Styela clava: one gene and its partners. The protein of the gene in region 1 binds, or shares a complex with, the protein of each later gene. Links are inferred from orthologs where the notes say so. Each region holds a gene or a part of one and is shown in the gene's direction. Other genes may lie near its edges.

Region 1 (10,926 bases):
GTATTTGATGATGTATTATGTAAAAATTATTATTATTATTATTAATCTATTATGCTATAGGAGTATAGGTTATTATATACATACAGTCAGTAATCAACTTAACATACATTTGTAGCAGTCTTTCTTTTTTGCATCCCAGCAGCATCTTGATTGTCGGCAAACCCGTTCAGTGATCCCGTTGTATCGTGCGTCACAAAATGTGGTTGAACACATGCCGTTGTGCTGTCTGCTGGTCACGGAAAAGCTACTTCTTCCATCACCTGTAATTATATATATATATAGTTTTGGATTCAAGATAGTTGGCGTGGAAGGAGGTACACGAAATTGGTATGACGTAACGTGATATTCTGCTGGAGCATCAAGCGATAAACCGTATATTCATACGTGTGCAATCGATTAAAAACAGTATATTCATGACTTTGACATATTATAGCACTATTGGTCTCGTCTTACCTTTAAACACTCGTCTGCATTCTGGTGGACTTGTGAAAGGAACGTGATCATCTCCCGCAAGTAACCATGTTCCTCTGTAGCAATCAATTGCAGTCGGGCCGCTTGCGTGAGCAAATAGTTTCTATTAAAAAGGGAACGTTTAATAATAACAAAACTGCACGACTTTCTGAATTTTACGATTCGGGTGTTTTAATGCCGACTTCCGCTAACTGAGGGTGTCGTTATGTGACGACATTATAGTTATATTCTTGATTTCATAATTTAAAGCTTTTAAATGAAATATTATACTTAATCTATACTTTGAACGTTATTCTGCATAATATGAGCGAAGAATAAGGGAAATTAAAAACAAACAAGCTAGAGCGAAGTACTCCATAACAGTATTATATTACTTATTTATTGTTTGTTAGGGTTACATTGACTTACATTACATTTAATCTTGCAGTGTGTACCATCAAGATATTTCCCCACCGATTCACGAGTGGAACAAATCAACATGCCATTCTGAATGTTCGGAGTGTTGCAGCTTGCAATCTTTCCTACATTGACGTATTCAAATTAAAAATAAAAATTGCAAAAATATAGAAATCTGACTAATAGAGTGATAAAAAATATTGAAACAAAATTTTTATTGGATGAATTTCATTAATCCGTGTATAGTTTGCATTTTGAGAACCACGAGTTAAAACGCGGGAACGAATAATCCTCGCTAATGCTGTGTTAATATTCGATTTCACAATTCACATAAAGCAGTAAATAACAGTTTCACTCGAACGTGTATAATTCACCGAGTCGCGCCAGTTGATTCATTCTCAGACAGATATTTATGAAATTATTGGAAACGTGGGATTTTCTCCCAAGTCAATCATGGCATTATTTTTAACAACCCTTCGGTTTTCACCCAAACTTCAAAAAAACTATATAAAAAACGGAAAATGTATTCAACTTTAGGAGTAAAATGAATAAACTGCGAAACAAGCAAAAATACGATCTTCAAGTATGGTAATGTAATGATTACCCAGTGATTTAAATAGAACTATTTCTTAGTTTCGGTAGTTTAAAAATTCAATAGACACACTCACTTGCATCCGACGTCTTTATAGCAGAGTATAAAATGATGTAAATCCATAAGCTTATACATGAATGTACTACCTTCATTCTGATATATATAACCTTACTAACGTTTCTTCGCAAATTTTCAAATGGAAATATTATTTATATTTTTATATTCACCAAAATCAATTTAATAGAGTTATGCGCTAAATTTCAACGCACCACAGTTCGATATCTACAAGAAGCAAGCCCAAATAGACACTAAATGGGTATATATATCTGCGTTGACTTATAAACTTAGATAGTATGACGTCACTATTTTCGTCAGTTACTCGAGCATCAAGTTTGCGAGGGCGGATCGAATTACAGATGTGTCGTCTGAATATCAAAAAATAAACGTGTTATCTGATGAGACGTGACCTAAGTTTTTCGAAGGATACTCACCATTTTAAGTTAAATGGTTTCGGGTAGCTTGTGCTACCCTCGGGGTGTGAGATGTAAGTCGGTGTACTTTGTCATTGAATACTTTGTCATCACCTCTAACGATACGCCAGAATACTAGGACCGAGTGGGTTCCCAATTAGCATCGATACAAGTTATTGTGAATGCCAAATTTTATTTTCAATTGTCTGATCGGAATTAACCCGTTAACTGTCTAATATAGGCTACTCTGTATGATTCCGACTGATTGAATGTTAAACTCAAATATCTAATTTTGTTCTGTTTTCACTTGGTATATTAGGATAGGATAAGTAGTTCACTATGTTGCGCTTTGCCATTACTGATAAAAAGAATTGTTTATTGCTCTTGATATTTTATTTGATACGATGGAAAGCAAATCGAAAAAAAAAAAATTTAATAGGGCTTTCCGTCCCGTATACATATTATCTGTAAGTTAGGGCCGTTGTATTAGTCCAAAGTCTGAGAGTTTGCTAACCAGCCAATTCACGAGGAATGTCTCTATTGTATTTATTTTATTCGGTCACAGTGTGGATCTAATTTGAAATAAAACAACCACTGTCATTTATACAAAAAGGGGTTTTTAATTTTTTAAGACCCGAAATATATTTGGTTAGCGCGCCTTATAGGTTGGTGGGCACTAATATTGAACCTAAGACCTGCTATGCGAAAATGTGTCACGAGAAGACTTCCGCTTACTTCTGTAGATCATTTTCTGATGAAATATTCTCATGTATATATATAAGGAAATTTGATAGGAAATGTTTTCTATATACTGTATATGTATTAATAAAGTATATTGATGTAAGAACGTGCACGTGCGATTGAAGGTGAACAAGAATAAATATATATTGTCCTCGACAGACGTCTCAACAAACAATATATATGATTCCTGAATTTAAAAAATATTGTAGCAATAAGAGGATGCATTTTCCTCATTAAAAAAATGAAAATTAAATGTGCTTGCATTTTGGATCGAATAAAACTATACACTGGTTTATTTGACAGATGACTGTTAGTTTAGTTTACAGCGATCTAGAATGCAAATTAATTACAATAATATAACAATGAGCTCATTAAAAAGTGCGTTATCAGCAAATCTTTTGTGATCACGATGTTGTCCCCACAAGCCAAATTAATCATTGTGCCCAACATGGCTCAGTCATCATAGACACGCCACTGTTTGGGTATCTCTCAAGTCCATGCACCGGAAAAAATAACTGGCTTACTACTCCGATCACCATATGATTAATCCGTCTTATCGGCTTTCTTTTCCCCTTGAATAAATATGTAAATCCTCCGCCGCTGGGGTAACATTCTCCGCGATTTCTTTGCCTTTATATCGCACGTGTTTGTTTCTATTCAATATTATAATTCATATTATTTCATCATTATTCATTGTGTGGTTTGTTGTTTTATATTGTAAACTTTTGAATTAAATACGCCCTCTTTTTCAAATATAGCACCCAATTTCAACTGTTTTGAAGCTAAACCAGTACCGAAATACTTCGCTGTCTGTTGGTTACGATGTTTCATTCGCGCTACGTAATCCCTAGGAAGATGAACAATTCCCTGAAACTTTTCCCCAATAAGATGGATGAGTCTTTCGTGACCCCTCATCAACTGCTGTAAGTCAATGTTCACCGTTTCTATTTTTCATGTGGATTATTGCTTTATATTGATTCTTACATTGTGAAAATGAATATCTGTATCTATAATTCATATATATACATGAAACTGAGCCTCCGTTTTTCCAAAAAAACGTATTATCGGGACATGACATTCATAATATATACACAAAATCAAGTTCCGGGGGAGACGCAAGACTTGCGAAGGCATGAACGAAATAACTTCTATTCATTTTGCATTCATTTACTACTGGGGGCTTTTGTGATAAACAATTGCTAATATGCAGCTGAATAAAACGATATATTCTCATACACGGGATCAGTAGTAATAGTTTGAATCCATTAGCATAAACTCACTCTGCATCTAGGATTCTATGTCCAATAAGTATGAAGTTCAATTCCGATCCTCTAAGCAGGGGTGGCCAACACGTCGATCGCGATCGACCGTCGGTCGTTTCATCCTGAGTGGTCGATCGCGCCTGATCTTGAAACGTAACAAAAGACGTAAAAAATTTGTTTTAGACCAATATTCAAGCGGCGCCTATTTTGTGTTCCGAAGAGGCGAATACTGTGCGTGTGCGAAAGACGTTATGTCTGGCGCATATTGGACAAAGCTCGTTTTTACGTAACAGTTTACAAGTTTCGTCACTGATAAATATAAGAAACAAATGGGCCGACTTAGACCAATGAATGTTTCACTTCGGTATTATGTGGAAAATTTTGTTAATTCTGGTGTATAAAAAGTAATATTGGTCACCGTAGCTGGACATTAGAATGACCATATTCAATGTTAATTTATATCAATTCTGAGCGTACCAGACAATTCCGGCGATTCTGCGTGAGCGGTAATACCTCCACTTTATTTTTTTAGGTGATGTCCCCAATTAAAATCGCATAACTTTCCTTAATATCTCCATGAGGCAGATAACGTCAAAATTTGACGCATACGTCAACGCAAACTACGATGAACCCTTTCGGTAATTATATTCACCGCACTCCTAGAGAATCGTCTCTCATTGGGCAGTGAAAAGGTCTATGTCATAATCAGAAATAAAGTAACCCAATGAGCGATTTGACGCCTAAGTTGAGAAACATATAATAGCTTTGCAAAGTCCAACTAAACGATTAGGATTGTTAGGCCTAGAACCTAAAATTTAGTGTAAACTAAGTTCAGTTCAAAGTGGGAGGATTATTAGAAGGATGGCACTCGATAGAAACATCTTTGGTTAGGGTACCAAAAGTACAAATAGTACAACAGAAGTCTTACCATATATCACTTTCTACTTTATGCCCTTGTTGTTGTTGTTGTTGTTGTTGTTGTGAGAAATAAATAGATTTTCTAAGCATTTAGTCCTGGCGCTACTCTTATATGAGAGCAGCGTGTACACGCTTCGTATGACATCCGTTACAATTATTTTGCCAGTGTGCTATCATTTTGGTATTTATAGTTACAGTGTTCCAACCAACGACCGGTTCCAACCCAATATCTAAGAACAATTCCAAAGTATTATCCTCTATAAAGTCGAATTATGTTTTGGATTTGATAACGTGGTTCCACTTGAGTGGTTCCTTGGGAGAGGCTTCACCTTCCGTCTCCTTGCTTAGTTGTTGCAGTGTCTATTCGGCTGGTTGGACATCGCGAGTGATTGTTTGCGTATAATTGAAAGTGTAGCCTTAAAATTGCCGATATTTACCGCACTGAATTATCAGTTTATAAAAAATAGTTTTGTGACAGATCCGCCAAAGTTTACATTGCTTTATACAGTAATATTCTGGAGTACCGGTATCACAAATTTTTCACTTTGATTTTTAATACCCTGATAGCGGTACCAAACAAAAATAGAAGTCCCGATTTAAAAGTGTATTGTGTTTCTAGTACATATATTTCGGTGGAGTTGTGTAACATAGGAAAATAATGTTTGGCATTGAACATTTTCTGAGTTTGATATATCTATATACTGATATACCTGTATACAGATAACGGTAGCAGTTTTTCTGAAAATATTGCACTTATTTCGGTATTACTTCTGATATCTACGTCGTAATACTGTAATAGATGAGACTTACATTTTTTTCTATAATCCAACTGAAACTTGAATTGTATCTTATCCTAGGGCTAAACCAAGAACAGAAGAATAGGGCTGTAGCAGTAACAAAGTGATGAGCTGAAAAATTGGGGTCTCATGTAGTTTCTTACCTAACATACTTCTAGTGGGTGTAACATGACAATTTTTCTACATATCAATCCTAACCCCCACCTGACCACACCATCCAAAAATTACGTCACTACGACGTCACAGTGACGTAATAGAGCCCTTCAAACTATGTGAACTGTCATCCAAGACGCGCAGACGAGAACCCGAAATCGAACAGCCATTTCTCTCGTTTTCTCGTCGCAACGATCCCGATAGGAGAGAGGTCGTTGACGTCAGTCAGTTCTTTATCGTCGGCGCCGATGCTATTTCGGGCGATCGTACAAGTATTTGGCAAGCTCTATGACGTGATTTTGACGTCGTAGTGACGTAATTTTTGGATGGCGTAGTCAGGTGAGGGTTAGGATTGGCATGTCAAAAAATTGTTATGCTACGCCTACTAGAAGTACGTTAGGTACGAAACTACACGAGACCCAAAAATTGTAACGAACAAACCTAATTCATTGAAATGTGAAAATAAAAATGTTTTTTTGGTACAATGGCATAAAGTTCTTCATGACATACCAATGAAAATTTAACCAACTAAGGAATCATAGTAACTTCAGAATTCAAAATCGAGAAAACATTTCACATTGCATTATGTATAAAATTTGCTTGTTAATAAAATTTAGAATGAAACTTTGTTAAGCTATGCTTCCTCAGCTACCACGCTCCTATGCCATTAGGATATCAGTATTGTGTGTTGATGGTTTTTGTTATGTATTAACAATAACTTTGTCATTTGGTTTAGTAATTTAGTAGAATTTGCTCAACATTTCTCCAAGATGATTTTGCTTGAAACACAGAATCGAATAATATCGGATACTTTGACATATAAATTTGAATGTGCAGTAGCAGGGTAAGCTTATTTTTTAAGTTAAATTATTTGTTATTTTTGAAGTTTCAGTGTTACATTTTTATTATTATTTTTAAAGGTCTAAACCAGAATCAATTGATTCAACAATTGCCGATTTTGATGGAGTGTTATATCATATCTCGAATCCAAATGGCGATAAATCAAAAGTCATGGTCAGCATTTCTTTGAAATTTTACAAGGATTTGGAAAACCATGGAGCAAAAGAGGTACATTACTTTGCAGTGAAAGAAATAAACCTTTTTGAGAGTGTGGTGAATAGTTTGGGACCTTTGTGAACAAGACTTGTTATATTTTATGAATTGAATTATGTTCGTTTCACATTTGGTTGTTTATATAATATTGATTACTAAGTTATTAAATACAGTAAATAAAATTATTCTATTTCAGCTTCTAGACAGAGTCTACGGATGTTATCTGACTTCACCTGAGTCTGGACACAGTGTCTCACTGCTCTATGATCTTTCGAACATTCCTAAGGATCACGCCAAAATTGTTGCAGATGTACGTTATTTCAATTCAAATTTTTTTTTCAATTTTCAGATGTAGAATTTACATTGGTACCAGAACAATTGACATTCCCAGTACTTGTTTTTCTAGGCTGCAAGTTTGAAAAGGAATTGTTTTGCATCTGTGTTTGAAGAATATTTTGAAGCACAGGTACAAGGGAAACAAGTGAAAAGAGCTGTCGTCAACTACAGAGATGATGAGACGATGTACGTTTTGAGAAATAATACTCGAATTATACTTTAAGTCTAATTTTTGAAAATACGCCAAACTAGATATTATGGGATATAGTATTTATGTTAGAAGACTCATAATACAGTATAAATACGATTTATTTATGTTTGCTTGTATTTTATTCAGGTATGTGGAAGCTAAGAAAGATCGTGTTACAGTGATATTCAGCACTGTTTTTAAAGATGATTCTGATATCATCTTTGGAAAAGTATTTATGCAGGTAATTAAATTAACATATGAACCTAAGTATAGGTAGGCCATATTATGTAGAATTATATCTTTGGCCATTAGAAAATAATAAAAGCCCCATCATTTGCTGCTTGTTAGGAGCCGTCTTCACAGAGAGAAATTGTGACAAAAACACCACATAGCATATTAGCTATTTACGAGTTTATCCACACTTTTTAAGTAAATATTGAAGCAGGAAGATATTTGAGCGCTCCAGAAGTATGTGTACCAATATGTAGGTAACTAATTTTATTCGCCTACATCAAGTTGTATAAAGGGACTGAAAACTATGGGCAGGGGGTATATTCGTTAAACAGACAGTCCCTGAAATCGTAATAGAACTAAAATAAGGAAAATCAGAATAAAACTATGGCCTGACCCTAACCTGGTACACACACTATGGGAGTGCCGATGTTTGACCAAGTATATTTGGATACATGTTCCTGAATTGTACTAGGAATCAGTCAGGGATTTGTATTACTTAAACATGATATGCAGGCTGTATGAAATATTGTAATAGGAATTCAAGGAAGGCCGCCGAGCAAGTGCCAGTGCACCCCAGGTTCTTTTCACTCATAAAGAACCTCCACTGGAATTGAAGGGACAGGATGCTGCAGTTGGTGATAACATTGGATACATTACTTTTGGTAAGATTTTGTTTCCTTCTGCTAAAATCTACTAATTCCAATTGTAGTTAAGTTCCAATAATTAAAACTAAATCAGATATTGTATTATGTAACCCACTACACAGGAAATTTATTTGATCATTACAATTATAACATAAAGCCATTTACCCCTCAACATGGCTGATCAGCTTCTATATCAATGCCCAAATTTTTCTAGGACTAGGACACTGCTAAGCATTCTTTTCATCCTTATTTTTAAAGTTTAAAGAGGCTGTCTGAGTGTCAACTGTCATTATGGATACATAAGTCTACAATCGCAATTCTTTTTCTACATTTGCTGAAATCAAATATTGTGTAGCTGCTATGTATGTTTTATTTGTATTTCTAGTTCTGAATACTCGACACACCAACCCTGCTAATCGTGACAATACAATTGATCTCATCCACACATTCCGAAACTACTTGCATTATCACATCAAGTGCAGCAAGGCTTACATTCACACAAGAATGCGAGCAAAGACTTCGGATTTCCTTAAAGTTCTCAACCGTGCCAGGCCTGACCAAGCAGTAAAAGAGAAGAAAACAATGTCGTAAGTTAAGAGTGTATCTAGAAATGGGGTGATTCTATTACCGGTTTATTTTATTTTGTTGATTTTGCTTACATCAAGATTTAATCAGTATTAATATACCATAATCGCATTTTAATTTTTTTTTTTAGTAACAAAATTTATGCAGTTTTGTGATTAATGAAAAATTTTTTTATATTATTTTGAGATTTTTATTTGCTTCTTTGTTTTTATTGTTGAATTGTTTTTAGTAGCAAATTTAATCATAAATGCTGATTGCAGGCTTTTTTTTTTTAATTGTGATTTTATCCCTAATTTTTGTTTTGCATGAACAGAGGAAGAAGTTTTTAATGTCAACGAAATGCACTATTTTCATTGTTTGAAAGGTTTGTATTTGCACTTTTTTTCTGGAATTATTTTGCTGCTTAAAAAATCCTAATGATTACATAACCAAGAAATTTTTAAGTTGATTTTGTTTTCCACATGTTGGAGTTGTAAACATTATGCTTCTGGGATAATCGGACTGTGAAGTCAAAGTTCAAAAAGTGACTCAGAATTCGATTTCCGGCTCGGGACTACCGTATAAAATTTTACCTACAATAACTTTGCTGTTTGCTACCTTTTTTATTTCATTCCGAAATCTTGACTGAGGACTCTTAGCATTCAGAAATCTATAGTTGGATAGTGTCTGTGGGCAGTGAAATACATTTAGATTTCTGGTTTCAAAACCAGGAAAAAGCACATAAAACTATCGAATGAATAGGGTGGCCATTTCCTGGGAAAAGTTGGACTAGCAATTACAAAATAATTGATAAGCCAAACTACCTTAAAAATTAACACCCCTTTAAAAATATGAACTGAGTTTCCTGTTTTCATATTCATTAATACATGTACGCACGCGTTGAAATGTTTTGGTTATAATCAGCAATCTCATTTCATGAAAGTATCAAGATTTTGAAGGATGCATATTGTAACAAATTTAAGAAAAGATTACCAATTCCTACTGTTGCGAAAAAAAGTATATTTGTCATTAATTGCTTCTTTTCATATTTAGGGGCAAGACATTCAACCGTTGATGTGTAATGATTAAACTACATTTTATACATATCTACATATTACCCAAGATTCCAAGAAGAATAATCAACATCTTTAAAATCTAATAATTATAATCTAATCAGTGTAATATTGATTGAAGATTTTTCCAATAATGAATCGAACATTTCGTGGCTATGCCTGGAATGCTTCAACATCAAAATGAATAACTGCAGATTATTTTATTCCATTATGATGATCCTTATATATAGGGAAAAGTTTGGGTACTCCCGAAATATGGTACCAAGATGGCGCACAGCCTGAAATATGTGTACCAGGTTAGGGTTCAGGTTGTGCGTCATCTTGGTACACATACTTCCGGAGCGCCAAGGTTTGTACTACATAGCTAGCTATGCCAACATAGTTTAACTTCCGATGTAAAAAATAACAATACATTTAGCATAAAAACAGTATGGCTGTCTACTACAGGGTAGTTGCATAGGTTTATTGCTATATATTGGAAGTTTACGTTGGAGTCTTCTTCGATTTATCATTTATTTTATATTGTATTGATCATGCGCTAATTCTGCTGCTTATGATTGTCTTTTGCCCACTAGCACAGATAATTTAATGTGATTGTTTGGGAATTGTTGAGGAAATTTATTATTTCGTAATGAGCTTATATATCCTGCACTGCATTTAATATTATTGTGTGGGAAACTGAATAAAACATAACAATACTGAAAGTTTTATTCGCAAATATATTCCAAAAACAAACAAATTTACATTTTTTTTTATTTCATGTAGAAACTTTGTAGTTCAGGTGTCAGTCCCGTGAAATTGATTGTCCCTCGTTGATAGCTTGTTTAACCCAAGACTCCTCTCGTTGCCTTTCATTTAATTCCTGGAAATAGTCGATGTATATTAAGAAGCAAACAACTGCAGGGTTTCGCCCAGCTTTGGGGCTATTAGTTATAGCAAGTATGCGTACAATTGAAATTCATGTAACTCGATAACTTGCAAGCAACGTTTTTTTTATAATCATCTGTCATTTTAAGAAACTCGTAATTTACG
Region 2 (11,566 bases), on another chromosome or scaffold:
AGGAATAAGAATACCAAATGAGAAAACGAACTCCGGACTTTTCTGAAATACAATTATTCGCGAGTGAAAATCACTGTGGGTGCAAAGGTACGCAGGTGCAAAAATGCATGGGTGAAAACTTCTATGGGTGGAAATATCTGTGGGTGCAAATTCCCGCGGAAGCAAATGACCCTGGGTGCAAATGTACATGGGTAAAAATTTCAGTGAGTTCAAATGTAGGTGGTGCAAATGCCCGTAGATGCAAACTTTCAGGGTGCAAATTTCCGTGGGTGCAATTGTACATATTGAGGGTGGGTGCAATATTATATTAAGTTTTGACCTTTTATACTGAATTGCAATGCAGTCTAATGATCGGAGGACTGGAAGATAATCTTTCCTGTCTCTACCCTACAAAGAAATTGTCTGAACAATCTGCATGATTGTTACCATCAGTTCGAACTCGGCCCATCATATTCAAGCCCAGGTAGTCGACCGAACAAGACACACCGTATTTGGCCCTGTTGAATATGGACCTTTCCCCGACCTTTGACCCTCGGAAAATTCTCCCCCATACTTTACCATTGCAAAATTGTCAAGGCTATTTTAAGAGTGCTTTTGCGAGTTGGCGTCTGTAAAATGGGGTATGTGTTTCAAACCATCATTATGATTCATCGCATACAACAATCTGTTTTTTAAAAGTACAGGTAAAGAATTTCAGGCTAGTCTATCACAGCTATTTCTACACTAATTTTTATTACTGCAATTAAATTAAAACTCCTAGAAAGACAGAGTGATCATTGAATTATCTGATTTTTATTTAGGTTCCCAAAACACAACTGAAAACTAACGAATAGAGTTCAAAAACGCGAAAACGAGGTAATGTTTACAATCACGCTTGAAAATCTGTCTGAGTGAGAAAAGTGTCTGAGCGGATGCGAAAAGGGGGCATTGTTACATCACTTTTTGCATCTTGCTGATTGGCGAATGTCACGAAGTAAACAAGGAAGTCGATGCTCGGGGAAAGGTCCATAAGGAAATGGATCGATTTTTCCACTAGTTGCCACATGGGGCGCAACTGCGCAGATTTGCAATGGCGGAACTACGCCACAGCCCAGCTTTGCCGGTTTCTTTAGCGCACGGTCGCCGGTTTTGGAAATGTTTGCGCAAATGAATTACGACAAGTAGGCTATTTGGGATTGGACATATATCGACTTAAGTTGAAACTTGAGTATGTTACCCGCCTATCGGAAATCTAATTTTTGTTTTGAGTTATTCAAGCAGTTAAAGCGTTCAAATTTACTATATAGACCAGGTAGAGATATATCATATGAGAGGAAAATTGCATAGAATAGAAAATGCAACTTCGAAATACGCAACATTTGGCGATACATTCCAACAAATTGGAAAGAAATTCTCGCCCAGAATCAAAATACATCTCCAGCAAGAACAGAAATTGATCGTTACCGGTATATGGTTTCAGAAGAATTAACAACCAAAAATATTTATAAGCGCTTAAAATCAAACCAATTGGATAACCAAATTCATGATCATAATATACCGGTATGTCGCAAACAAACTAGCCTACATCTTACCCAACCTATCCCATGGACAAAATTTTGGCAAATACAAATACCCAATAAGTATAAAGAACTCAACTGGAAAATCATACATAATGGAAACAAATCTGGATGATTTCTGAATTTGTGGCAAGTCAGCAATCTGGCAATATAGAAACTCTATAAAATATGATGGTATTTATGGGATGCAATGCAATTTGAGAGCAGTTTTTAAATGTAAGGTATTGGGGTGCATGGGTTTGATGGACAGTGGAAGCAGAAATGATATTATGCAAGATCAACACATGGATGAGGTTTTAAATAAATCCATCATGCTATAATATCAAGTTTCCAATGCAACCACTGGCCATCTCATGACAATATGTAACAGATTACCGTATTTACTAATTTGTGTAAAATGATTACATAGATGGAAAATGTAGAAATCACCTATGGCATGATAGGTGTTTTTCTGATTATTTATCTAATTCTTCAAAAATTTTGTTTTTTTTAAATAAAAATGCTAATGATGGGTTAATTGATATTTATATTATATATTATAACTGATGATAATGGGAAAATTATGTCTCAACTTCATGCACAAATGAACATACTTCATGGACATACTGACATACAGACATATGGAATTAAATGGTAAATGTATCTGGTCTGAATTATTTAATATTTGTCTTATCTTTTCATTGTATACCTATTCATTGTATGAAATCACCTAAATTACATCACAAAAATAAAATAAAATTTGGACCTCATGCAATAATATTGAAATATATATTTGATTATTTGGATACACCAAAGTCCAAAACTATCATTTGTATAAATCCGATTTGGCAATGGATTTGAATTTGGCAAAAAAAAAAAAAAAAAAGCGTTTTGTTTATTTTGCTTATGATCATATTGTCATAAATAACACTGTGATAGGTGCGAGGATATAAAGATTTATTAATTAAACTTTTCACTACCGGTACCGGTAGCCTATCTGTTGCATAATAAAAAATAATTTTTAAAAAATTGCCAATGGTTGTAGTCTATAAATCTGAAATCAAAATCTAGATAATGCAGTACGGTATGGCTGTTACCGGTACTTAGTGGTAGGTAATACAAATAAAGGGTCTCGTGTAGTTTCGTACCTAACGTACTTCTAGTAGGCGTAGCATAACAATTTTTTGACATGCCAATCCTAACCCTCACCTGACTACGCCATCCAAAAATTACGTCAATACGACGTCACAATCACGTCATAGAGCTTGTCAAATACTCGTACGATCGCCCGAAATAGCATCGGCGCCGACGATAAAGAACTGGCTGACGTCAGCGACCTCTCTCCTATCGGGATCGTTGCGACGAGAAAACGAGAGAAATGGCTGTTCGATTTCGGGTTCTCGTCTGCGCGTCTTGGATGACAGTTCGCATAGTTTGAAGCGCTCTATTACGTCACTGTGACGTCGTAGTGACGTAATTTTTGAATGGTGTGGTCAGGTGGGGGTTAGGATTGATATGTAAAAAAATTGTCATGTTACGCCCACTAGAAGTATGTTAGGTAAGAAACTACATGAGACCCCAAATAAACAGTTATGGGGTCTAGTATAGTTTAGTACCACAAGTACTTCCAGTTGGGGTATCAAAACGAATTTTGCATATGTTATTCCTAACCTCCACCTGACTATGCCATCCAAAAATTACGTCAATACGACGTCACAAACACGTCATAGATCTTGCCAAAGTATATTTACGATCGCCCGAAATGGCATCTGCGCCGCCGATAACGAACTCACTAACGACGGCTATCTCTCTCCTATCGTGATCGTCATGACGGAAAAACGAGAGAAATAGCTCGCTCGATTTCGGGTGATCGTCTGCGCGTTTTGGACGACCATCAGCATACTTTGTGGTGGGGTTATTAAGCCAATGTGATGTCGAAATGACATAATTTTTCGGTGACGTAGTCAGGTGGGGGTTAGGATTGGCATATGCAAAAATTGTTGAGTCAGGCCAACTAGAAGTGCATGTGGTACTAAACTATACCAGACCCCAGTTATGTTGGACGGTCATTTATACGGTAACCTAAGTAATATCATATCCGATATGTACTGGCACGGTGATCCAGTAATCAAGTTGTGGTATGCCATATGATTAAACCGTCTTACCGATCGGCCTCCTTGGGTACTGCACAGTAGTTTATTTGAATTTTCCCATATTTCAGTATTTAATTACTCACCAATATCTTTGATTTTTGTATCAGAGTGTAACGTTGATGTTATTACGAAATCTATACTCTATCTATGATCATAAAACACTGCAGTGAAAGATGTATTCAAGAAGAACTAGGAACTCGAAGGTGAAAGAACCTGAAAAAATTGATATTGAGAATGAAAGAAAAGATGATGATACAAAGGATTGTGTTGTTGTTTCTAGACTCCGCCGCAGACCTAGAGATGGAAAAAATAATAATGAAACAAATAAAAAAAATTTTAAAACTACGAGGGAAATGGAACACAAGTCAACTCAAGATGATAAGAGTGAGAAAAGGCATGGTAGAAATCTGAGAATTATTTCAAATGGAAATACAACTCAACGGAAGAGAAAGACAACTTCAAAATTAAAAGATGAAACGAGTGCTTCTTCAGAAATGAACAATAAATCGAATTCCTCTGACAATTCAGTTAACACTCGTCTTTCATCTTCAACTGAAAAATCAAATAACGTTGAATTATCTTCCCCTATTAGCCCCTGTTCTGTAGTGCTCGATGAAAATGTTGAATATACGAAACATAAAAAACCAATCCCTAACATGGAGAAGCTAAATAACTCCAGTTCAAGCTCATATGATAAAAGTATAAACACCCATAATTCTATTACTAAACGCAAACACTCGGCTGAAGATATTCTTTCTCTTTTAGAAGGGGAACATAAACCTTCGAAAAGCTTCAAGGATACCTCTCAAAATATGAGGAAACCACAGAGCCATGAGAATTTATCTTACCCCGATAGGCCAGCCTTAAAAACCAGCACTGGGAAAACTAGAAAAATGAGAAGCGATTCCTCAAATAAACAAACAAAACAAATTAACAAGACTAAAAGCGAAGTTCAAACAAATAGCACCCCTACACTCGCATCATGGCTTTCTTCTTCCCAAATATCAACCAGAACCAACCAAAGGGAAGATTTTCTTACTGTATCACCCCCAAGTTTTGATAAATTTGGAGACAAAACTTTTGAATCCCATTTAAGTAATATGAAGAAAGCCAACATGCATACTCCGAAAGAGAGTTTACGTGAATCTAGAATCGGAGGTACGCTTCAATGTAGTTCCAAAAGCCCAGATCAAACAAAGAGCACCCCTACACTTGCACCATGGCTTGCTACTGCTCATAGATCAACCAGAACCGATCAGGGTGAGAATTTTTCTACCGTATCGCCCCCAAATTTGGAATTGCTTTCAAGCAATGTGAAGGAAGTCAATACTCCAAAAGAAGGGTTACGTAAATCTAGAATTGCAAGTACGCCTCGATACATATCACAATCTGATGACAGCGACACAGAAGATTTGTTTGGTTTTGAAAACTTACTTAATCCTGTCGCTGACGTTCTAGAAGATGTTTCTCCTATTATAAGTCACCAAATTCGGAGAACACGAAGGAGCAAAAAAGTATCACCATTTTATCAAGGCAATAATGGTCCAAAAGAATGGAATGGAATTTTAGACGTCACAGACTCACATTGGCGTAAGAAGCCATCCAAAACTGGAGCAATTAAAACTAATCCAAACACTGACAATATAGAAGTTGCAGAATTATCAGAAATTCATTTATTTGAAGATATTCCTGAGGAAAAAAATGAAAATAATAAGGAAGATGGCTATTATTTTCAAGAAGATCAACCATTATCTAAGCCAAAAAGAGCCCCGAGAAAGCCCATTAGGTCTCAACAAGATGAATTCAACATAGAAGAACAACTTCCATGGAGAGAAATAATGGAGCACGAACTTGTTATCGAATCTGTTTAGCCAAATTTATGTAGTTTTACGTCTACTTCGTTATTTTAATGAAAGATTTTTTTAATTTTCGAATTTTTTTTGTATCATGTATGACAATAGATTCACAAATTTTGTTTACGATGTTATTCTTTTTTTCTAATATTATTGCCAGAATGGATTAGCTCTGCCTGTTATTATAATTCCACTGCCAAGTTTGGAATCAGTAAATAATATCTCAATGTCAGCTTCTGCTTATTTATTGCTGATTTGATAGCCACCACCGCCTAGAAATGATTGACTTGAAGATTTATATGGCATTCATTCTCAAGGTTGAAAATTTTTTTCAAATATTAAATTTTTTTGACTGAAATTTTATACTTATTGTCTGCTTGTTTTGCCATAGCTTTGTTTCTGTTTGCCAGGCAATAGTTTCTTTTGATACCTATATCTGAACTAATTTCATTAGTTGAATCATTACATTTGCATCACATGTTTTATGTTGTCAGTGTGTTGTCTGCCTTTGTAGTTTTATATCATGGAACAAATAGAGTATGATAGTCGACAATAGTATATTAGTTTTGTGTTACTTTAATTTTTTCAATATTTCGTTTAAATATTTTTGTTTGGAAACTGTACTTAGATTTGACAAACTTTGTGTAGAACCATATCAAATTCTTTATTAGTAATAAAAATATGGTATATTGACATGACAGATTTAACAGGGAAATATTCTCACTGATAAAATTGTAAGTCTATGGTGGGGATGTCACACTATTTTTATACCCACACTGTTATTGTAGATCATAAATTACGCTAAAATTAAGGTTTCTTTTCTGTCTTTGAACTTAATTTTCCATTTCTGTCTGTTTTTTGATATGAGTCTATATTTCAAGCATTCAAAGAAGTCTGATAATAACAGTTTCGTTGTGTTTTTTGGTGATTTTTTAGTCACAATTTTGTATGTTCATACCCTTGTACAATGTATTGCATTTATTTTTCAATTTGATTCCTAAAATATTACAACATGCTCGTCTTCGTTCAATTGTTCTAGTAAACCTCTACGTTTCATTACAGATTGTTGACAATCTAATATTAGAATATTGTTACAAATTTAGTGCAGTTTTCTATTATTAATAAGAAAAAAAAAGATGTCGACAACTCTCAAACCATACCTGAATGCTGTAAAGTCTACTTTAACAGCTGCTACGTGTCTCCAGAATTTCAATTCTCAAGTCGTGGAAAGGCATAATAAACCAGAAGTCGAAGTTCGTAGCAGTAAAGAATTGTTGATGACGCCGTTGGTCATTGCGAGGAACGAAAAAGAAAAAGTCATGATAGAAGCTTCAATCAATTCAATCCGCGTCAGCATCGCCATAAAACAAGCTGACGAATTGGAACAAATTCTTTGTAGCAAATTCACAAGGTTTATGATGATGAGAGCTGAAAGTTTCGATGTTCTACGTAGAAAACCAGTCGCTGGGTACGACATTAGTTTCTTGATTACTAATTTTCACACAGAGAAAATGTACAAGCATAAATTGGTTGATTTCGTCATTCACTTTATGGAAGAAATTGACAAAGAAATAAGCGAAATGAAATTAGCTGTCAACGCACGTGCCAGAATCTGTGCTGAAGAATTTTTAAAGAAGTTTTGAATATAAGATGCTGTAGAACTAGAATTTCAAGTACTCTTTGCATCTACAATGAATGAACTGGAAAATGCCTTGAAACGAAGGTTTTTTCTCTATGAAAGATGTTTTAAATTTATCATTATATTTATCCAGTATAATAATTATGATATAGTCCATAATATCCAAAGTGTTTAGTCAATATCAATTTTACGAGAATGATATTTTTTCTCCGATTTCAATGATTTGAATCACTGATTAAATTTGATGAAGCCAAATAAAGGTAAAACTTGATAACAAAAAATTTCAGTTTTCTCTTTAAATAAAATTCATATGCTTGGTATATTAATGCTTGATTCTCCCATGTCTAACTATATATATCAACGATCTTAAGAGTGGATAGGTTATTTTTATTACTATATGCAGAATATCTAATTGATGCTTATTGTTATAATTGAAATAACCAGCTGCTTATTTTATTATCTTGTCTGGTTGGCTCCCATGTTCTATATCCCCGCATATGAGCCGACCCCACAAAAACCGCTTTAAAATAGTGAATTTATAAAAATTCTCATATAAGCTGACCCTACAAATCGTAACACACCGTATGCACGTATAACAGTCAATGATGTTCAATTCGAATTTAATAATATTCAAATATCGGTATTCGCTACCTTCTAGTATCGTTTTGTGTTTATATTAATATTGAATATCGCACACACATTCTAGCGCCCCTGTCCACGTTTTAATTAAAAACATTTTTCGATTATTATATTTTATGTTTTATCGTAATCGAAGACAGCCCATTGTGACGCGACTAAATTACTGCCGACATGAAAGGATTTATATCAGCGCCGACTTGCAGTACTTATAACACGTCGTGGACGTTTGATTGAAAGTATTTTACAATTATTATAGAATATTTAACATATCTGGGCGACCACAGCAAATTGTGTGATAAATAATTGTTTCCATTGACAGTGACCGAGAATAACGGGAAGTTTTTGCATTTCCAGCCTATTAAATAGCTTCTAAATGTTATTTAGTATCTATCGCGGTTTTATTGTTAGCCTGGTGTTGCTAATGATAATATCGTTCAGTTTAAGTTTGCGGTATTTATTTATGAAATGTCATTTAGTTCAAGTGCGATCAGAGTTATGCGCTTATAAGCCGACACCTTAGTTTGACAACTTTTTTTTTAGTTTTGAACTCGGCTTATATGCGAGGATATATGGTAATTTGTTCTCATCTGACCAGGCCACCTCATTGAATTTTTCACAACGGTAGCCCTGACCTCTAATGCCAGCATTCATCCATATATACTGCACAGAGTTTTGGCGAAATGAATTGATTGTGGAAACAAAAACTTTAAATATATTTTCCAATTGAGATTCTGACTGACTTAATTTTTAGATTTCAGCTCTATTATGTTCCCCCTTTGTTTGTTTCAAGGCACTGCCTTAGGATCCTGTTGTTAAATATTAGGACCAAATATAGTTATGTTAACTTTTGTGGCCAGTATTTTCAGGGTAGGAATCGTTACCATAGTAACATATTATGCTATCATTTTTGGATGTTACATAACTGATATCAAACTTAATGTACTAGAAGGTATATTTTTGGAATTTTCAATATAGATAGGTAATCATTCGAATAATTTCTATTTGTTGTAAAAATTGACATAAAATTGGATTTTACAGAAAAATTACAAAATTTTAGGAAATCGTCTTTTTTTTTATGTCATTGATGGATCTTTGAAAAACATCTTTCTCAGATGCCATTAACTTTAAGCAAGCTGATGTAATCAATTTTAGTAAATGTTTCGAATTTATCGCAATTTTTTCAGGTACTAAAACCCCTGTTTTCCATGTTGATTAGGGAAACATCACCCATGTAACATCTATGACTGCATTACAATAGTTACATTCAAAATCTTGTTTTGCTGTTATATTAAATTCAATTAGTTGGAAAAAAGTTGGGAAATTTATTATTGGATATCAAATTCATATTCTACTATTAAATGGTAATAATGATATTATTCCATGATATACTGTATTCATTAATTATGTGATAAACAATCGTTCTTGCTCTTATTTCTTTTTTCATTGAAACTAGCTGATTAATTCATTGATGATTGAACAATGTCGTTTTTCATTGTAAATTTTTTGTGGCAACTTTAAAATTGTGCATTTTCAAAATTTATCTGTAATGCAAATTATCAACAAAGCAAATTGTTTAATGATGGATTGTGTAACCAGCCTGGGTCTATTTTACTTATGACACACCATTAGCGATTATATTTACATGGCTTGGCCGAATATAATCCTCAAGTGACAACAATCTGTTTCTCGAGCATATTAGTAACTTGACAAATACAAGAAGGGCTGCATTTTTTTTTGCTTTATGATTATGATCTTTCAACTAACAATGATCAGCTATGCTTTTGGGAGGTGAAAATTATTATTTGTTGAATAATATATTTAAAATTGTGTATTGGTTTGGTTGTAATTTCCATTTGTAAACGTATAGTAGTAGCATTTATAAGTGATATTGGGTAGTTTCAATTTGATATTTGTTGGACAATATTTCTAATTAACCAATGTGCATTTATGTTTTTTTATATTAATCAGAGTCTGCTAATTAGTATTCCAATAAAAGAAGCAAAATTGAAATATGAAAGGAATAGAGTATGAAAACCAACTTATGGACATTGATGAATCAAATTTTACGAATGGAGATATAGAAAATAACAGAAAAACTTCAATATTAGTTGATGGACGTAACAGAAAGAAAAAAGATACAAATGTGTTATATCATTTCATCGATGGTTTTGTTATTGAAGAAGCAGACACTCCATTTACATTAGACACGGGTTCTTTACTCACAAAACAACAACTCCAAGATATCTGGAGGAAACAGCAGGAACTTATCGCTAAAGATCGTGAAGAAGAACGCAAGCTAGATAGAAAGTCTATTTTACCTGAGGAAACGAATGAAGCATTGTTAGATACAGTACATAGATGCGAATATTGCGGTAAACGTGGAAAAGGTCATCGCTCGTCTCGTTTTTGTACTCTACTTTGTTGTCGTCGTTATAATATTGCTGTTGCGAGAAGATTTCGAACCAAGGCAAATAAAATTGATAAAGATTCTAATGAGGAATCCATTGAAATACCGAGACAAAAAAATCATCGTTTTAGCACTCCACCTCTTTCCCCCGTTATTCCCTACTTACCACACGTGAAAGATGAGGATGGTCAAATGGTCACTCTTAGTCCGAGCAAGTGGACAGTAGATAATGTTTGTGATTACATTTCGTCTTTGCCAGATTCAGAGAGTTTTGCAAAAGATTTTAGAAATCAAGAAATTGATGGTTCTGCTCTGCTTTTGATTAAAGAAGATCATTTAATCGGAAGTTTGAATATAAAACTGGGACCTGCGTTGAAATTGTGTTCGCATATTAATAAGTTGCAAGAATGACTTAATGTAAATTTATTTATAGTCGTAGATTTTGGTCTAACTATGGTCATGGATTCAGATGCCATCATTCGTAATTGTCTCAAGTCCATACATTGCTCTTGTTTGAATTATAGATGACCGTACATTTTTGTGCAGTTAAAAATATGTTGTAAAAATGCCGCTTAAGCTTTCTCTATTTACTTTTCCTGCTCATATGTGTTAGCTGTTCTTTTTGTTTATTGCAATTTGCAAAGCATTGTATTTCTCATAATACTACTATATTTTTTTTTTGGTGATATGTCTTTGTGATTATCTACCCTAGCAAACACTTATGGGATTTGATATCAGAATTGTAATTTTTGATTTTCTGATCCAATATTCTTATACTTCTATTAAAAATGCCAAAGAAACTTGAAATTCTACTTTGATTTAAATCCGTTCATATATTTCGGAGTTGATAAAATTAATTCCTGGTTCAGGCATAAGATGTTACAGCCCGACAGGCATGATATTCAGAAAACTCATTCAGATTTGGAAAAACGTTATGCTGTACCACATAACATATAAACCTATAAACTGAACTATTCTCATAAAAATGCGTATTTCTTCACAAGACTAAAAAAGATGACATGAGTCACATGATGTACTTGAATATGTCCAGACCTTGCTAATTGTACAATCAATGAGTTGTGATTGTGATTACCGTAATTCAGAATGCTAAAATGAGTATGAGTGCATTTATTTATTTATTTTATTACTATTTTTTGGAAAGGATTTTTTTAAAAAACGTCACAGAACCTTGGTACTAATTTTGTACAATCATTTTGATTTTTTTTGATTGTCGGTTTATTTATGAGAATCATGTTCACTTAGCTTATTTGCTTCTAAAGGTTTCTTCTATTCTCTGACTCTATATGTGATGAACCTATTTAATTTGATATTGATTCAAT
Region 3 (9,947 bases), on another chromosome or scaffold:
TATGTATATTCATCAACTACATTTGCTGTTTTCATCGAGTTTTCAACTATCAGGAAATATTTAAATCATTCATCTTTATCATTCCTTTTTAACTCAAATGGATATTTCAAAGATTGTATTATGTTAGCTAACTTAAATAATCCCCCTTCTTATATTACGATAACTTTGGAACTGTTATGTGTAATCCACCAAATAATTGTTGTAATTAATCAAGGTAAAAATCTATACGCAGCCTTTGTTTCTCATAATTCCTGAAAGTCTTGTCCTTATAGGAATTTTTCTTTTTTTAGGGGTCGGTCGACATAGTTGACCTTAATTGTAGTCCTGCCCAAAGCGTACCGGTATATATACAGTATCACAAGCGGGGCAACGCTCAGACAATGGACGCCATCTTGTGCCTATTATTCTCGGCCATCTAAAACAGCGCCTTATGAGAGGTACCCACACAATTGTTGAAACATACCTATTATTTCCACTAATATTTTAGGTAGAAAAATTTTGAAGGTCGCGTTTTGAAGGAGAATCTTAGCCGAACATGCTGATATCCTTTTATTCATGTTTGCCAAATTATATTTATAGTACATTAAATTCCGAGTTGCTTCCGAAGTAAGGCCATTCTGTCGTCATAATTAACCATTTGACAATGGTTTTTTATGACGTCACAGATGAGAAGTTGTATTCATTCTTCAAAATTGCCGGCCGACTCAACTTCGCTTCAATGGCCGTTTCTATTTTCTGGTTAACATTTTTCCTATTTGCCCTACTACGCATCTCCAAGCTGTGCTAGAAGAACAAATGACATTGTAGGATTGATGCGGAGACATTTTACAACGTCAAATTGGCGCACTATAAAATCTTCGAAAAAATGACCAAAAATGGTTCTACGTTGTGTTCGTGGTCAAATTTAACGCATCAGATAGTTTTATGTTCTCAATTGCGTTATATATTTAGGTAGCATATAACTTAAAGTTCAAAATCCACCCTTCGGCTTCATTCTAGCCCTTATAACAGCTAACTTATTTGATTCGGTACAACAACACGACGAAAATTTCCCATAAGACTCCATTGTTTCGCGTTTTCCAAATAGGGCACAAGATGGCGTCCATGAACTTGTTTAACATTAGGCAAGTTGGTTGCCGGCCGTTGGTCCTGCCCGTCCCCTTCCAATTATATTTTATGAATGTTTTTTCCATTTATTGTAATTGTTACATATTTTTTGATATATTCGGAAAATAAATCATTATCTCTCTTCCGTCAAAAACCATAAGAAATGCATTACCCGCCAACAAAGATTGGGATAGGAGTGTATCGTCAAAACGAGGAAAACTTCCGCTAAAGACAATGTATAACATGTTGTTATGTAAAATCTATGCTTCCGCACTCTATAATCTATGTTTTTAGTTCTGAGCTTTGTGGGAAACGGCCGCGCGTACCGGTATCAGTAAAAACCTTTTTCTATGTTTTGACTATATTAACAATCTCCTTGTCGTCTTTGCGGTTTTGTTAAATTTTGTGCTGTATTTTTGACAAGAGGTCAAAATAGTTTTTGTTTATTTTCACTGTTCTGTCAATGTTCGTTCGCAGCGCTCCTTGTGGATTTTCACCACGCCCTCGAAAAAAGAGTGTGCACTTTCATTTATATTAATTTAGCCCATTATTATATACGAATGTTTGCTGGCGAATTCGAAAGTTGAGTGTTGAAAAAATTTTGTGCCTTCTATAAAACGAATGTTTATCCATATTATTTTACTTTTTATTTTCAGTAACAAGACATACTAGCAGAAACATAAACTAAGGCAACCCTAATGGCAGTTCCTGGTTGGTATCATCTTCCTGTGTGGTCGGTTTGTTGCAGGGCTGCCACTTTAGATGTTTTATAGCTAGATCTAGATGTTTTTTTTTCAGATCTAGATTAAAATTTGGAGTATAGATGTTAGCTATAAAATCTTTGAGATATTTTATCCAGTGGGATATGAATAAAGGGATGTCGGGATGTGTATAATGATATTGTACCGGTAATACTGTAATATGTGAATGAATATTATTTCATTACTTAGAACAGTAGAAGTAAGTTAAATATATTGATGTAAGATTGATAAAACTCATTTATATTATAATTATCTACCGGTACCATATGTAATTAAATTATTCGAATTAAACATGTTTAGAACAAGCTGACAAGTGAAGTTTTAATTAAATAGAAAGAACCGAACGGCGCTGGCCCGATGAGTCAGTGCTTAGTACCTTAGTAGTAGTAGTAGGCTATTGCAGTATTGTATTGTTGCCAAGTGGTGAGAATCCTAACGCTTTGCACGATAATATACGATATTTTGCCATGTATAATACGCACTTTCATGGTCAAATTTAGTCTCACAAATATGGGGGTGCGTATTATATATTGGTCTAGAAAATATCAAAAAATATTAATTCTCATTTTATGCTTCAACTGGCAAGTAATTGTCACATTTTATAATCTTGAGTTCTTAATTTAATGTGGCAAATTCTGTTAGAATCAGACCATGCTTGATTCGGTAGAAGCATACCCAGTTCAACAACAATTTAGTGTTGATGAAGGCGTAGAAAAAATGATGAAATAAAAGTGATAAAAACACGCTGTTGTACATCCGTTAACTGCTGTCATTGTCTGGTCTATTTCTGTTGTTTCGCCGAATCGGCAATACTTTATCATAATAAATACCATATGAGTGACCTACGGCTTCTCTTTGTCTGAAAACACGTTCTGATATCAGGTTTTGTCAGCTTTTAAAGGGGGAGGGACAAATAACTTTACAAGATACCTCTAATGTCAAATCACATCATGATTGGCAGATGTTTCATAGGCAAATACATAAAACATATTACCAGATATATATATAGTTAACAAAAGGCAAGCAGACAGAATGCTTGAAATGTCTGGAACAAACACCTACAAGGCAAAAAAATTTTGATATGCATATTATGCATGGAGTTTGAAAAATTCTGGTTGAAAATGTACTAAAACCTGGGTGCGTATTATCTATGGGTGCGTGTTATACACAGAGAAATACGGTAATATATATTTATTGGTTTCTCGCCTACAATGCCGTTGAGAAAACAAAATCTTTCAGACTTGAAATAAAAACCAAGGAATCTGAAATAACAATGGGGTAGTGTAAAAGTGCCTTAATGTGGTTGAAAGCTGATCGAAAAATATAAAACTATCAGAGTGAAATTCCCTCCAAACTCTTTGGAATCGTAAAATAATTTGCCGCATCATCCTAAACGTTTTTGGTAATTCATATGCGTGTTTTCTAATTTCATAAAATCGAGTGCCATAAAAAGTCCCTGATAGAAGTGTTGCATAAGTAAAGCCCAAAACTACACCAACAGAGGCTTATTCGTTTTGTTTCAGAAGTTTCTTATAGCAGTACGGCACACTATACAAATCGGGTGACATTGTCCCGTTTCAGAGAAACCCATTTTACAGATGATCAGAAACCCCTCCGACGTCTGGACATTGTTGTCCCTCAATATCGATAATAATACAGTATAATGAAGTTGCGCAAAATACTACAAAAAAGCGCAATCTAGTAACATCATCATTGAATTCCTTGGGAAAAAATAATCCGATTTACCAAAGAAAAAAAATTTTTACTGTAGCATTCGAGAGTTTTTAGCAAAAAACGGTAATTTTGGTCATGTGACGGCCGCGATTAACTTATTATTATTGAGACAAGCACGGTGTGATATGACGCATCTGACGTGGTCCCAGATGCCCCTCGTTTGTGAGACGCATAGAGTGTTTGTTTTATTGAGCCAAATGGAGGGAAATTCTTGGAATTTGGATAGTGTGCTGTACTGTATAGATACAAACATTGATTAAATATCTGTGAGTGTGACCCACTCTCTTCTGTTCCGCGATAAAATTTGACCCATTCATTGAAAAAGGTTCACCAATCCCTGGCCTAGAGCTTGCCAAAGTATATCTACGATCGCTCGAAATGGCATCTGCGCTGACGATAAAGAACTAACGGCAGCGATCTCTCACGTATCGGGATGGTTGCGGCTAGAAAACGAGAGAAATAGCTTGCTCAATTTCGACTGATCGTCTGCGCATCTTGGATGACAGTTCGTAGAGCTTTAAGGGCCTTTTACGTCTCTGTGACGGTAGTTTTTGGATGACACAGTCAGGTGGGGGTTAGGGGTTGACATATGCAAAGATTTTTATGCTACGCCCACTAGAAGTACCTTAGGTACGAAACTACACGAGACCCGGATTATGGACGTATAAACTCTGGCAGTCTGGGGTTGACATAAACTGAAAAAATATAATAGTTACAGCTTCTAATCCTTATTTACCAACTTTGCAGAGTTCTTTTAAAAGCTTATATTTCCAGGTTTAGAAAGCACTCATTTGCAAGACATTAGGACTCAGTGCTCTTCAACCGGGTATACGGTCTACCCAAATGTATACCGGACTATAAGTTGGGTATACAACCGATAATGGGTATACGAAGGGTGTACAGCCTAAGTCAGGAATTCTAAACTCTAATTACTGTTATAATGAACGAGAATATCGGTCGGAGACCGAATACTTATCGATCAAAAGTTAGGGTATCCCCAAAACAGAAACTGCGGTTTCGATCCATCCGCTCTTACTCCGTGTAGCGACACCGTGTGTCCCATCACTAATTAAATAATAACTCGCTAATTATACGATATAGTTCATCCAATATCAATAGGCTTCTGCTCGGAGATATGATGAATGAACATGCAAAATTTGGAGCAGATTCAACCTCGCTTTCGTGAGATATCGCGTGCATCTAACAGACAGACAAATACCTATCAACATACTTACCGATCGAGATCGATAAATAATAAAATATTCAAGCGGAGACAACAATGCAAACGCGGCGCACATTAAATATAAAATGTCATTAACGCAAAGAACCGACGTGAGGACATTGGTACATCACAAATTATATAGATAATGCAGTCACATGTCTGGGTTCGTGATTTCGCTGCCATGCCATGCACACTTGCACATTAGATTGCATGATGATATTGATATTTGTAAGGTATACAAAGCTATTGGAAAATTGTGAAAAGTATACCATGATAAAAAAGGTTGAAGAACACTGCATTAGGTTATCAACTTTAATAATGCAAGGATTGATATGTCTTTGTAATTACTCAATGCCGAATGTCATCTATCTAAGCTATTCCAAGCAACTTCAGGCTGTTAATGCAGCAATCTCTAAACAAATTGCTTCTGCTTTATGAAACAGCAAAAGTAAACAGAAGACTGTCATGGTGTAAGTGTGGAGCAATAAATCGCATTCCACATCCTATAGTCAAATAGAGCTGTCTGGTTGTGTATGCAAGCAAGGATATGACGATTTCTATTCTAGGGTAGTCGTTCAAGTATTCAGGAATCATGAACACAGACTTCTCACCAGAGCCTCACTACCTCAAAGAATGGTAAAGGTGTTCAGTTATTTTAATATTTCACAGTAAATATTTCGACCCATAGTTGCTCACTGTAATAAGCGTTAGGAATACGCTCACCATCTTATCTGTGACTTTGTGATGATGACCCTGTGTTCACAGGTTGAAATCCTGAAGACCAGCGACTCCCAATAGGTGCGCCGATTTGCTAAGTGCTCTGCCTGTCCGCGAAAATTAATAGAATTGTGTTAAACATAACTAATATAGGATTGAATATTTTACATATTGTATTTTCATTGTTTCTTAGTTTGAATGCTGTGTATACTGGAATATGAATTCACCTTTCTATGTTGTTTACTTTCCTTACGTAGTAGTGTCTGCCTCTGTTGTTACGTAACAATAAAGGTGAATACTACTTGCTGCAATTTTTCGCGAGCTGCAGTTTAGTTATTTTCTGAACCGATTTTAGCGAACATGAGTGATTTTTATTTTCTGAACCAAGTTTAGCGAAAATGAACGATTTTTTAGTATTTCAAGGGAAAATCAGTCAAAGATGAGAAAAAGGAGTTGTCCTTTTGGCTTTATATATTAGGCCTACATGTTTACAAACTTTATAAGGCATAAGGTAAACATTAACGATCACAAAATTGAGTTTTATTTAAAGGCAGCAATTTTTTTCATGTAATTGCGCCGTGAGTTTTTTTCTTAATAATTTGGCTCCACCCCACAAACAAAAAGTATGGGAATCGCTGGCGTAGTTTAAGTGACAAACTGCAAGTTCATAACAAAGTGTGATTTCTGTTCACCCTATGTTTTTGCCCTCACACCTCTTTGCCTTAAATAATATTAATTGTATTGCTCACAAAGTATTTCATGAAATGTAGTTGGTGGATCTAAAAGTCATTTGAGCCAGAGTTCAATAATAAGAGTTTAATTTCTCTTGACTTTTTTCATTACAATATTCATACTAATAAATTAACACTTTCCTAATACTTTTCAACAGGAAATATCATTATGCCAGCTTATCACTCTAACCAAATACCTGCCAAGTCAATTGCTAATGTAGGTTTGCTGCCATTGCGATGTACCACAAAGTTTCGAGGACCTGCTCCTAGAGCCCCTCCAAATTCTGAACAAGATGTTATTGATGAAGCGCTGTATTTCTATCGTGCAAACATATTTTTTCGTAATTATGACATCAAAGGAGATGCAGATCGCACTTTGATCTATGTTACCCTGTATCTACAACAATGTTTGAAGAAATTGCAGAGAACCACTACCAAAGAACAAGGCAGGAAAGAGATGTACAGTCTTGCTGTGTCTCCTTTCGATATCCCAGGGGACCCAGGATTTCCTCTTAACGCAATGTATGCAAAGCCTCAATCTCGACAAGATGCGGATCAGATGAAGGCATACTTCCAGCAGATTCGACATGAAGCTGGAGAAAGGCTCCTGGATAAAGTTTATGATCCGAGCACTAACTCGCTAAATAAATGGTGGATCTGTTACTCCAAGCGACGCTTCATGGACAAAAGTTTGTCTGCACCTGGCCAATAATGTTGCTGTGGAACTTGGACAACAATTCACTATAATGCATATTCCAGAAATTAAAAAAATTATGTGTATGAACTGTATGGGCATACAATACATCACATGGTTATGTCCGAACAATGACTAAAAATTTGTTCCACTTGTATAATCATTATATCTATATTGTATCAGTGTTGAGTGCAAGCCGCTGAACATTTAGCCACAGGTTATCAGAGTTTCAATAACTTTTTAAAGCTAGTTACTGCACTGCCGATATATACCATGAGTCGAGTTGCAGTAATTTGCATTAGCAATAGTGAAGTGCTGAAATAAAGTTCACATTGTTTTGCGATGAACTAATGCTTTTTTGAAACCCAAACTGAGATTATCATTGTGTGACTTGCTTACTCATACTTCAGAAATGTTTTGATTCAATGACCCAAATTTATTTATTCAAAGCAGTGCCCCTTCATTTACCGCCTGTAGCATGCAAAAGATGTTGATACTCTTTTATTGCTGCTCTCAAATTTTGTAATTTGTTCATGTCATGATTATATGAAGTCATTTTATGTCAAAGGCATATGTAATGATAAATTGATACTTATATTCGTGGCAAATGCTGATTTTTCGGGGCTCCCGAAGTATGCGAACCAAGATGGCGGACATCGGAATGTAATATGTGTACTAGGTTATGGTTAGGCCATAATATTAGGTATAAATACTACGGGAGGCTCTTGGCTAGTCTTCGAACTGATAATAGGACTAAAATAAGAAAAATTGTAAAAAAAATTATCGCTTAACCCTAACCTGTTACCCATGTTACGTTACGATGTCCGCCATCTAGGTTCGCATACTTCGGGAGCACCGATTTTTCTAATGTTGATTTTTTTCAATACTCCACTTCAATATTGAAGATATATTAATCATGAATAAATAGTAAATGGCATTCCATCCACTATTTTATTATCATGAAATTCACAGAATTCAGTGACCCGAAATCTTATGAATGAAATTTTAGAACAGACTACAGATTGAATGGAAGGTTCGTATACGCCAAAGTTTTTTTTAAGTCTGGGTGACGTAGTCTAAATTTTTTTCAACAACGAGTCTAGAGTTGATTTTTTTTCATCCAGCAGTCTAGTCTTAAATTTTCCCCGTCCCCTGCTCGTTGCCGCTAAATATTCATTTTTTTCACTCCAGGCAATTATGATCCTTATTTTAAAGAACATAAACATGTGAATAAATAGATATAATTAAAATTAAAACAGTAAATACCGCAATTCCAGTAAAATCACAGCTAATTCGTTTATTACTCAAGATCCGTATGTCAGTGACAAAGCACAGATAGATGCAGGCGCGGTAAATATAAAGATGTAATATCGCAACGCTCCCAATGATAGAAGTGAAACAACACCAACAGCTTTGGATATGACAGCGGCCCTTAGGACTCAAAAAGGGGTATAAAATAAATTGGCTATAAAATGATTAGTATTGACGTTACAAATCAAGGTCATAAAATACAAATATTTAATAAAGTAATATAATATTAAAGTAATATTAAAGATTTCTGGACGAATACCCTTTATCAATACCACGAATAACGTTTTTTATTTGAGGACATATCGCACAGTTACTTAGACTAACTAACCCAGTGGTTCTTAAACTTTTTGAGCCGCGCCCCCCTTTGAAAAGTTTCATGAACTTTGCTCCCTCCCTTTTTTGTTTTGGAAAATGCTTTTGCAATGGGCAGGTTGCTTTATAATAAGATGGCGCTGTAAGAGTGTTGGTCTCGCAGCGTCATTGCTCAGATTGCTTAGGCATAAAACGCATCGGGGTACAATTTCGCCTTTCACTGTCGTATGTATAAAGCCATACACAAATACTAGTCATCAATATTCTCTTTTTTCCGCTCAGTTTGCAATACCTGGTGAAGTCAACTCAAGTTTTACGTAAAATTAAACACGCAATAAACGTATGCTCTTTGCGCTTTAATGTATTTTCTGCATATACGTTTACGACACGTAAAATTTCAATTGTTCACTTCACTATTGAGCAATGCAAAAATAATTACTGTGTGTTAAAAATAGACAACAATTACAGACTTCTTGGCTTGCCTAGCGTCTCTAAAATTCACTACCAATATCTTCGGACAACCACTAGGTCAAAAATACAGTTTACACAATGGAGAAGTGCAAATGAATTTATGTAGATTTGTAGCATAAAAAAGCCGTTCAATTGTTAATAGTAATTATGCATGTGGACTTTTCCCGGCCCTTGAGCGCTGAAAAATAAAGTCCCCAATGACGTTTGCGATTGCATTTTGTTTAAATCTCCGATTGTTTTCGCTCTCATTCATCTCAACAAATATTTTGTGCGGCGAAAACATGATAATTACTTTTTGCGTTCTCGCATGGAACCATGACACCTGTGGGGAAAACGAGATAGTTTTTATTATATATATAATCATATCAGCGACGAGATTATAAAGATATAATAAAGAAGTGAATCCGCAACCAAAAATTTATTGATGGAAAAAGCGGCATTATAAAATACTAAAACTAAAACGGAAAACACCAACGGGTTTTGTTATGGGATGGAACTCGACAGTTCGAAAACACTTTCTTAGACATCGCAAATCTCGTATATTCCTTGTTCACGTGGCACACCTGTAGTGTGGATAAAGCAATCTTTTAAAATATTTATATCGATCTAGTGGCGTAGCCAGGGGGGGTGGTTTTACGGGTCGAACCCCCAACCCCCCCCCCCCCCCCCCTCCCCCCCCCCCTTTTTTTTTGAAATGTAAAAAAAATAAAATCCCCCCCTTTTGAAATGTAAAAAAAATAAAATCCATTTTCTGTATCATAGATAGCAATTTTCCGTAGCTTGAAATGCTTTTTAGACCCCCAAGACTAACAAAAAAAAATTCAGAACCTTTCAAAAATTTTGGCTACGCCCCTGTATCGATCATGGATTAAATGTTTTATTCAACA

What was found.
Region 2: actin-related protein 2/3 complex subunit 2-like (region 1) and actin-related protein 2/3 complex subunit 4 share a complex: the UniProt entries of both Caenorhabditis elegans proteins name them as parts of the arp2/3 complex. The link is inferred for Styela clava from reciprocal best matches to the Caenorhabditis elegans genes arx-4 and arx-6.
Region 3: actin-related protein 2/3 complex subunit 2-like (region 1) and actin-related protein 2/3 complex subunit 3-like share a complex: the UniProt entries of both Caenorhabditis elegans proteins name them as parts of the arp2/3 complex. The link is inferred for Styela clava from reciprocal best matches to the Caenorhabditis elegans genes arx-4 and arx-5.

What each region holds. Positions count from the first base shown.
Region 1 is NC_135259.1:12,804,000-12,814,925, forward strand, and holds actin-related protein 2/3 complex subunit 2-like, read left to right. Parts: upstream 1-6,534; 5' UTR 6,535-6,570; coding exon 6,571-6,644; intron 6,645-6,720; coding exon 6,721-6,868; intron 6,869-7,049; coding exon 7,050-7,163; intron 7,164-7,259; coding exon 7,260-7,375; intron 7,376-7,526; coding exon 7,527-7,620; intron 7,621-8,148; coding exon 8,149-8,275; intron 8,276-8,642; coding exon 8,643-8,844; intron 8,845-9,155; coding exon of another isoform or gene 9,156-9,171; exon of another isoform or gene 9,172-9,206; intron 9,207-9,874; coding exon 9,875-9,896; 3' UTR 9,897-10,633; downstream 10,634-10,926. Other genes in the region: uncharacterized protein LOC120338534, read right to left, coding at 108-260, 454-574, 880-992, 1,536-1,611; uncharacterized protein LOC120337963, read right to left, coding at 10,679-10,756. UniProt on the Caenorhabditis elegans protein: Functions as actin-binding component of the Arp2/3 complex which is involved in regulation of actin polymerization and together with an activating nucleation-promoting factor (NPF) mediates the formation of branched actin networks.
Region 2 is NC_135255.1:6,166,564-6,178,129, reverse strand, and holds actin-related protein 2/3 complex subunit 4, read left to right. Parts: upstream 1-6,541; 5' UTR 6,542-6,677; coding exon 6,678-7,184; 3' UTR 7,185-9,788; downstream 9,789-11,566. Other genes in the region: polyhomeotic-like protein 3, read left to right, coding at 9,831-10,637. UniProt on the Caenorhabditis elegans protein: Functions as actin-binding component of the Arp2/3 complex which is involved in regulation of actin polymerization and together with an activating nucleation-promoting factor (NPF) mediates the formation of branched actin networks.
Region 3 is NC_135257.1:4,066,963-4,076,909, forward strand, and holds actin-related protein 2/3 complex subunit 3-like, read left to right. Parts: upstream 1-6,410; 5' UTR 6,411-6,441; coding exon 6,442-6,984; 3' UTR 6,985-7,908; downstream 7,909-9,947. UniProt on the Caenorhabditis elegans protein: Functions as a component of the Arp2/3 complex which is involved in regulation of actin polymerization and together with an activating nucleation-promoting factor (NPF) mediates the formation of branched actin networks.